Linked DNA regions of Coturnix japonica. The protein of the gene in region 2 interacts with the protein of the main gene of each other region in a pairwise test. Links are inferred from orthologs where the notes say so. Each region holds a gene or a part of one and is shown on either strand. Other genes may lie near its edges.

Evidence for each region. The genes of interacting proteins can lie anywhere in the genome.
Region 1: the proteins of RALGDS (region 2) and KRAS interact in a two-hybrid assay, tested with the Homo sapiens proteins (3 studies listed by BioGRID and IntAct). The link is inferred for Coturnix japonica from reciprocal best matches to the Homo sapiens genes RALGDS and KRAS.

The regions. Positions count from the first base shown.
Region 1 is NC_029516.1:61,748,446-61,752,092, reverse strand, and holds part of KRAS (GTPase KRas), read left to right. Parts: intron 1-701; coding exon 702-812; 3' UTR 813-3,647. UniProt on the Homo sapiens protein: Ras proteins bind GDP/GTP and possess intrinsic GTPase activity. Plays an important role in the regulation of cell proliferation.
Region 2 is NC_029532.1:5,350,464-5,354,738, reverse strand, and holds the start of RALGDS (ral guanine nucleotide dissociation stimulator), read left to right. Parts: upstream 1-1,386; 5' UTR 1,387-1,568; coding exon 1,569-1,736; intron 1,737-4,275. UniProt on the Homo sapiens protein: Functions as a guanine nucleotide exchange factor (GEF) activating either RalA or RalB GTPases and plays an important role in intracellular transport. Interacts and acts as an effector molecule for R-Ras, H-Ras, K-Ras, and Rap.

The DNA of each region.
Region 1 (3,647 bases), on a different chromosome or scaffold from region 2:
GATCATTGCAACACGATTGATCTGAATGATTTGTTTATGTAGAGTTTTAAAGAAACCTGTGGTGTGATTATTGTGTTAGCATGCCTGACAACGGACCTGAATAAGTAGATGAGTCATATCTGTCTCTTTGGTACCGATTTCCTGCTGTCCTGTTTGTATTTTAAAGCTATGTCTAGATTTAAGCGTAAGCAAAGCTAACAATTGCCTCAGAGCTTTACTCTGAAATCCAGCGGTAGTACTATATACATCCTTATAACCTAAACGTGGCTCATTCAGGTGGCTGATCCTCAGCCTGCAGCCAGGAGGAACTGCTCACACAATGGCCACCTAGAGCTGCTCTCCTACAGGGCTGTGCACAGCGATGCCATCAGATGTGTATTTCTCATGCAGCAGGAGACAGCTGCAGTCCCCCCACCATCTCAGTGTTCTCCAACATGCCCATTCCCAAAGTCCAGGAATGCTCAAGAGGGTGTGTTGGTGTCCTGGCAACTCCTACAACCCACAGCCTGCTCTTGGGGTGTTGTAGAGGCCTCAGTGAGGAGAGCGTGGTGTCAGCTCTCCTGACACGGCCTCCTGATACGGAGCAGGCTGCTGATTGAAAACACTTCACCTGGTCAGCTCAGGTGAAATGAGGCTGTATATAAGCAGGCAGCCGAGTCTGTTAAAGCCATTGTAACATGTGCATCTGTGTGTCTTTTTAGGGTGTTGATGATGCCTTCTATACATTAGTTCGAGAAATCAGAAAACACAAAGAGAAGATGAGCAAAGATGGTAAAAAGAAGAAAAAGAAGACAAAGTGTATAATTATGTAAATACAATGTATCCTTATTCTTAAGACGTACTGAAGTAATTTTTGTACATTACACTAAATTATTAGCATTTGTTTTTAGCATTACTTTACTTTCTGCTTCATGATCCTGTTAGCTTTACCTGAACGCTTGTTTTTAATGACAGTGGAAACTTCATTCCTCTTAAAGTGCCAGTATTCTTTGAGTGTTGGTTCTTGAACTAGCAATGCCTGTGAAGAGAAAGAAAAACAAAGGAGAAACAAAAACCCCACACAAAAACCCGAGAGCTGTCTTAGGACTCTTTGGTGCATGCACAGTCGCTAACTTCCTATTTTGCTTATTGATGGTGAACTTTTGTTCCGTGTGTACACAAAAGACTGAAACGATGCTCCACACGTTCTGACATCCCCCTGAATTTTTCCTATTCTTTTATTGTCTAAATCTGGTTGGGAAAACAGACCCGTTAGCGAAGAATATTTTATTTTCAGAGTTCCTTTTCCTTTAGACTGACTGCAATATAGAGAGACCAGAAGCCTTTATAGTCTTCCTGTAGTTTTCGCTCCTAGGCATCTAGTCTTGTAGCATTTCAGATCAACTTTATTGAATGTAAAGAGAAAACTTTCACACACAGAAAAAAGTTTCACTGCAATTTGTCTCAGTCACTCCTTAAATACTCTATTTTTTCTATTAAAAAGAAAAATTATATTAAAAAAAAAAAAAAAGACACTAATGCACATCTGGCAATGGAAAAAGTCAAAGTTGTGATTAGATCGATTTCCTGCTGTTAATGCATTGCTTTAAAACTTTCACTTAACTTTGTCTGTCTGAAGATGCCCAGGTGAAATCTGAGCTCTCCTGAGCCCCCAGTGGTAAATGTTCAGGTAGCTTTGTTCAGTAGGACAGGATTTCACCCTTAGCGTCTCCGGGATATACTAGAAAGCCTTAATAGATAAGCTGATTCAAATTCTTAGGTTACTTCATCCATGGATCCACAAGTTATCCTGAGGATTAGGTCTGGCTGAATCCTAAATTATACATCAAATTAATACCATTTGCTTTGTGTGTTTGTTTGTTTGTTTTATTCCCCCTCAAGGGTGGCCTGAAATGTTTCCATGCGCCCATTTCATGTAAAAATAGGAGCAGAATTTTAAATTCTAGTAACCTCAAATCAGTGAATGAATGAGCTCAATGAACGTAGCTGCTTCATGCAAGTGATTTGGAAATCCACCGTGCCATGCAAACGGTGTGGAATTTGCACTAATCATCAGCATAGAACATGGTTTCCAGATTCAGTGTTGTTTGTGCCATGTCTGTGAAGTGCTGGTTTTGTTGCACAGATGAACTGGTTAGTGAGTGGCATTCCAGTGTCCAGACCATCATGAAACTAGACTGAGACTTCAGTGTTGTCTTTCTCCGTGATCAAGTCTCTTGTGATTCTTCTTTTTTTCCTTCTTTTTTTTCCCCCTTCTGATCAGAATTAATGCAGAATTTTTTCAGGACCTTTCATTTCTGGTACTGAAGTAGTCTGGCTATTCTGCACCATAGTAAGAGCCAGCATTTCCAGTGCTGCCAGTTCCTGTTGTCTTCCTGCAAAGGTTGCAACACTTAGTTGCCTCCGTCCCATAAGGCGCAGTGGTACCCAATCAGCTGCAGAACAGGATTTGAAAACGTGACTTCCCATGTACCAAAAGTAGAACAGAAGTCGCTAAAGGAGGATAGCATGGGACAGCGGACTGGTAGGTGGTGCAAGTCTGAAACAGGGAATAGCAGCATCGCTCCAACTTAAGCTATAACTAAACCATTACGTGGAAAACGTACACGGTATCATTTGAAATAACATATATACATTTTTAAAGTCCTAAAACATTTTACAGCTTCCTGGGCTAAAATCATTTTGGAGGCGGTTATTTGCACATTGTAGAGGCTCTTGATTATATATGAAGAAGGTAGCAAAGCTGGACAGTTTGGCCTGAGCCAACAACAGCAATCTTAAGGTGACTAAAGGTTGTCTCACTGCATGTAAAGTTAGAGATGGTCTAAAGTTCTCCCGTTAATTTAACTAAAACCTGTTAGGGGAAATAAATGTAGCAGAAATACCTTAATAATCCAGCTCTGCTCTATCAGTAGAGCCGTACTAGGTGTAGCTCCACTATCAAGATGTATCTAAAATAGGTTTTTTCAGTAAGCGTGATCTGTAGCTACCGGTTGAATGAGGTTATTACAGAATTGCCCTGTAACGGCCCGTATTGACTTAAAGGAAAGAAAGAAAAGAAAGAAGAAAAATACTCATCCTTGCCACTGTTGTGCAGTTTTGTCTTAATATTTGTAGAGATTTGGTGAAGCATGTTGGATTGCAGCTTGCACAAGCTGATCTCAATTCCTCTGTCTTTCCCTGTTTGAAATGCTTTCCAAGGACATACCTGGACGCTATCTTTTCTGGCAGTAACTGCTAAATGAACATGTGAATCACTTCCTGCGTTAATACATTACATTGCCATATGTCAGGGAGCAGCACCTTCTTACGGTAGCTTTATGTAACCCTGGTAAACAGCATTATTACTGGTTTTCTCAGAACCGAACACTATTGTGACCGGTCCCATTGCTCTAACATAGGGAAAAAAAGAAGCTACACCGCATAGGATGCCTGCAATAGGTAAATACAGACACAATCTTCTACGTTCTGTGAAGCAATACAATGACCTTCCAAGACCATCCAACTGTACGCCAATCACTTTGCCTGAAGTTTACATAAAGCTACATAGATGGTAAACCTTTCCTAACATTTCTTTCTTCCACTGTCTCGTGTTTTCATGTTGAAAATACTTCTGCTTTTTTTCCTCTTGAGTGCCAACTTCTTAC
Region 2 (4,275 bases):
AATGCCACCCATCGAACAGTTCCATAGCTTCCCATAGAGGTCAGGCAAAGCTGTGATGTTCTGCAAGGGTTTGTATCTGCAGACAAGCAGTGCTGCTGTCTGTTCTGTGCACCCAGTGTTGATCCATCCCAGCTGTGAGGCCACAATTTCACCTCCCCAAGGGCTGAATCCTGGCTTCTCTCCCCACCACCCTTCAGCCCTGAGGGCAGCACTGATTGCTCTGGAGGTGCCTGACCTCTGCATGCACCGAGCTCTGTATGCGACCCATTGCACTGCAGAGCACATCTTGCTGCATCACGCAATGCTGCATGGCATGCAGGGTCAGGATTGGCATCACCCCATAGATCATCCCAAAGGTGTGGGGCTGCGTGCAGCCCTTGTGCAGGGCTTCATTTCCTTTCCCATACTGTAGCCCTGGAGGTCCCGTTGACCCTCTGCAGCTCCAGATAAGCAGGACAATAACTCTCATTGTCCTCCCTCATCCTCCTGCCTGATACATTTTCAAGTTGAAGAGTATTTCAGCTTTGTTAATCCTTTCTTGCCCGGGCAGGAGGTGCCCTGGGCAGAGCTGGATGTGCAGCCCCTGTATTTATGCTCTCATTGGAAATAAAGCCGCGGGGCTGCACGGCTGGGAGGCTGCTGTTATTTCAGCTGTGCTGGGAGCTGAGGCGTAAGCGTCTGGGTTTTGGTGGTGTCAGCAGCAGCTGCCATGCATTAATCGGCAGGGAAGGAGAAGGGGCAGGGAAGGGTGAGAGGATGCTGAGCTCAGTGCGTGCAGAAAGTGTGGAACGGCTCTGTTTGTTTCTCTGTGCCTCTGAGAACAGTTACATTGTGATGTTTCGGCATCAGCCTGAGAACTCAGAGACGCTTTAGAGTGGGATCGGCAGCCCTGCTGCCCCCCAGCCCAGTTCCCCTTTCCGTGCATCCCTGCAGGGCCACACATCGCTGCTGTGTACCCTACTGTCCCCCATGGTACAGGAAGGGGCCCAGGGGTCCGTGACTGCAGCCCCCCATAAATGTTCTGGGGCTGGGCGGTGCTTTGAGCACAGATGGCACCGTGGGGGCTGAGCTTGTAGGATGGGAAGCAGCCTGGCTGCATCACTGGGTTAATACTTAGCGGTGGGTTCGAGGTGGTGCTCTCTGAACCCCAGATCTGATGTTAGAAGCTACGTGAACACTAGGCGATACCAAGACCCTCCTCCAGGGCCAGCGTCCCAGCCTGCACGGCTTCTCCCATTGCCGCCCACCTCCATCCCCTTCCTCTCCGCTCCGCTCTGCCCCATCCCGCACTCCCCCGCAGCTCCCGGCTGAAGCTCTGCCCCCTCCGCCCTCGCCTTCCCTCCGGGGGCCGAGCCGGGCCGGTCCAACCCCCGGGGCGGGCGGAGGCTGCGGGGGAGGAAATCCAAGCTCCGCTTTCTCAGCCCGGCCCCTCCGTGCCGTCGGGTCGCTCCGCCGCTGTTCCCTTCGGCAGCCGCTCTCCCATCCCGGGGGCGGTGGCGGTGCGGGTCCCCGGTTATCCCGGGATCCCGGTCCCCCCGGGCCGACCCGGGGATGCGGTGGCGGTGCCCATGGTGAGCCGCCGGCACCATGCCGCCCCGCCCGCCCCCGACATGTTCGAGGGCTGCCGGCGGGCGCGGAGCTTGTGGGGCGGCGTGAGGCTGGAGGTGGCCGGGGAAAGCAGCCCCGTAGTGCTACACAGCTTCACCCAGCTCGACCCCGACCTGCCGCCGCTTGAGGTGAGGATGGGGGATATGGGGGGCTGGGGTCTTGCTGTGATGAGTCGGGGCTCAGCTCGGTGCAGGAGGATCGCGGTGCAGCTCCCGGAGTTAAGTACGGGGACAGCTGTGGGACAACGCGGCGTTGTTTCGTTTCGTTTATTAAATAAGCGAGTGGCCCTGCTTGGTGTTTTTGCTCTGAGCGGTGGGCAGGATGCCAGACCGGGCTCTGCAAAGGGCTGCCCTTCCTTTAAACAACGGGAGAAGGGGATAAACCTCAAAACAAGGTTTTTTTGGGTCTTATTCTTGTTAATATCTCAGCTGCTGCAGGCAGGGAACTGCTCTGATCTGTCCTTAAGGACTTTGGGTTCGTCCAAACCACAGAAGTATCCTCTGGGAAGGTTATGGCTATCAGGAAGGCTGTGCTGGAGGATGCAAAATGTTGGTGTTGCTTTGGGTTCGACCCCGGGCTGCTGAGCCCGAGCAGTTTGTTGCATGGAGGTGGAAGCTGAGACACCCAAAATAACGTGAGTCAGAGCTCTGGCTTTTTTCTTCGGAATGGGTGATCATCTTCTGCGTGCCAGGAATGTCATTGATTTGGAACGAGCGATGCTGGGAGGCAGGTTCGGGCATTCCCAGCATCACGGAGCCCTGCAGGCTGGAGGCACAGGGGTTAATATCGGCAGGGTCAGGGGCTGGGCTGGGTGCAGAGCCAGCTGCAGATGTGCTTCGTGGCTCTGGATGCTACTGAGGGGGGTGGGGGGGAATAGGGTGCGCCCTGCAGAACTACTGAGTTCTGTGCAGATATCCAGCATGGCGATCCCATTCCTACCCCATTAACCCACAGTGGAAATTCCTGGTCAGGATGTATGGGAAGGGATCAGTGCTGGCTCCAGCCCTATCGCTTCACCTCTGGCCCTGGCAGCAGGGATTTGTCAGCTCATGGAAACCCTCTCCAGCTTGCTCTTCCTCCCCCTCCTCTTCTCCCCCTGCTTCTCTCTCCTGGGGGTGGGTGTGCTGACATTGTTCGCAGCACATCATCTGGTTCATGTTATGTCTGGCAGGAAGTCCAGCCCCTGCGGCCCGCTGCGCTCCGGGAGGCTGCACGGGGCTGCACTGTTGGAAGGGATGCAGGAGGAGCAGGGAGGGGGGCAGAATGGGGGCTCCTGTGCTTCTCCCCCTGGGGTCAACCACCCCATGCACCCCACAGGAGGCAGAATGGGGCTGCAAAACTGCTGAGAGCAAAGTTATGGCCCTAACTGGTGTTGGGTTGGCCTCTGGGAGTGTGCCCAGATCATGGAATCATTGAGGTTGGAAAAGACCTCTAAGATCATTAAGCCCAACCATCAAGCCATCCCCTCCATGCCCATGTCTTGGAGATGTCTGCTCTGGGCTGTGATGTGGCGGTGTGAGGGCAGAGCAGCCCCAAAAAGCACATTCTAGAGTGGGATATAGCACTCACGTGCAGCAGGATTTGCTTGCTGTCATTGCAGCACGCAGTTGGGGAAAGGCATGCTGAAAGGGGATGAAAAATAAGTCGAGTTGTTGTGGCAACTGTGCTGGCAGCAGCCTGGCTTATAAGCCTCGAGTGAGGTTACTCTGCAAGATGGATTTGGGGAGTAGAAGGTGGATTATTCAGTTCCTCCCCCTCCTGTATTGCTTGGAGGTCCAAGGGCTCTTGAACTGGTTTTAACTGTGGGGAATGGCAGGTTTAAACCAATTGGGTTTTTTTGCATGCCTTTTGCTTGGACCTTCCTGCTTCCAGTCCAGCCCAAATCAGCACTGTGAGTTTGGGGGTCCTCCTGCTCCATGCTGCACACACAGCTGCAGATGGATGGCCCAGACTGGGGCTGGCACTGCCCAACCTCCCTGCGAGCAGTGAGGGCTGATGCCTATTGAAAACTCTTGGATTGTTTCTATTTTGGCTCTGTTTGTTTTCCGAACAATTAGGAGAATTCTCAGTTGCTAAACACGTCCTCGAAAACTTGAATTGCTCAGCCCAGATGCTTGGGAGGTCAGTGCTGGTGCTTTACAGCTGGGAAGGAGGGGCAAAGATCTCACTTAAAAGCCATTTTCTTTCCACTTCCAATGGAAGAGGATCCTTTTCTCTCGCAGCCTGTTCTCCCCGAGGCACCATCTGATATGCCCTGTGCAATCTGCAGGATGGACATCATCTGTCCCTGCTTCTGGAGAGGGACCTGCTTATGGCTCCCAGCCAGAAGGGTTGGGTAAGCAGGGAGCTGGCTGGGATGTGAGTGCAGGAAGGGAGCGAGGAGGTGGGAGGGGTTTCTGATGATTGTTTGATATCGTTAAGAGGAGCTGGAAAGAGCTTCACCATGTGTTTGGATAAGGCTTGCATTGCATGCCCTGTTTCCATAGGGCAGGAAACCCTCCGGGACTGGGACCTCACTGAGGTTTTAGCAGGTTTGTAATCACAGATTAGCAGCCCTGGAAACTGGAATCTTGTTCAGCCCTCCCGGCCCCACAGGCTCCACTTGTGCTGCTCCAGGGCCCCACAATCCTTCTCTGGCTCTGCTATGGCCATTTGTTTTCTGGCTAC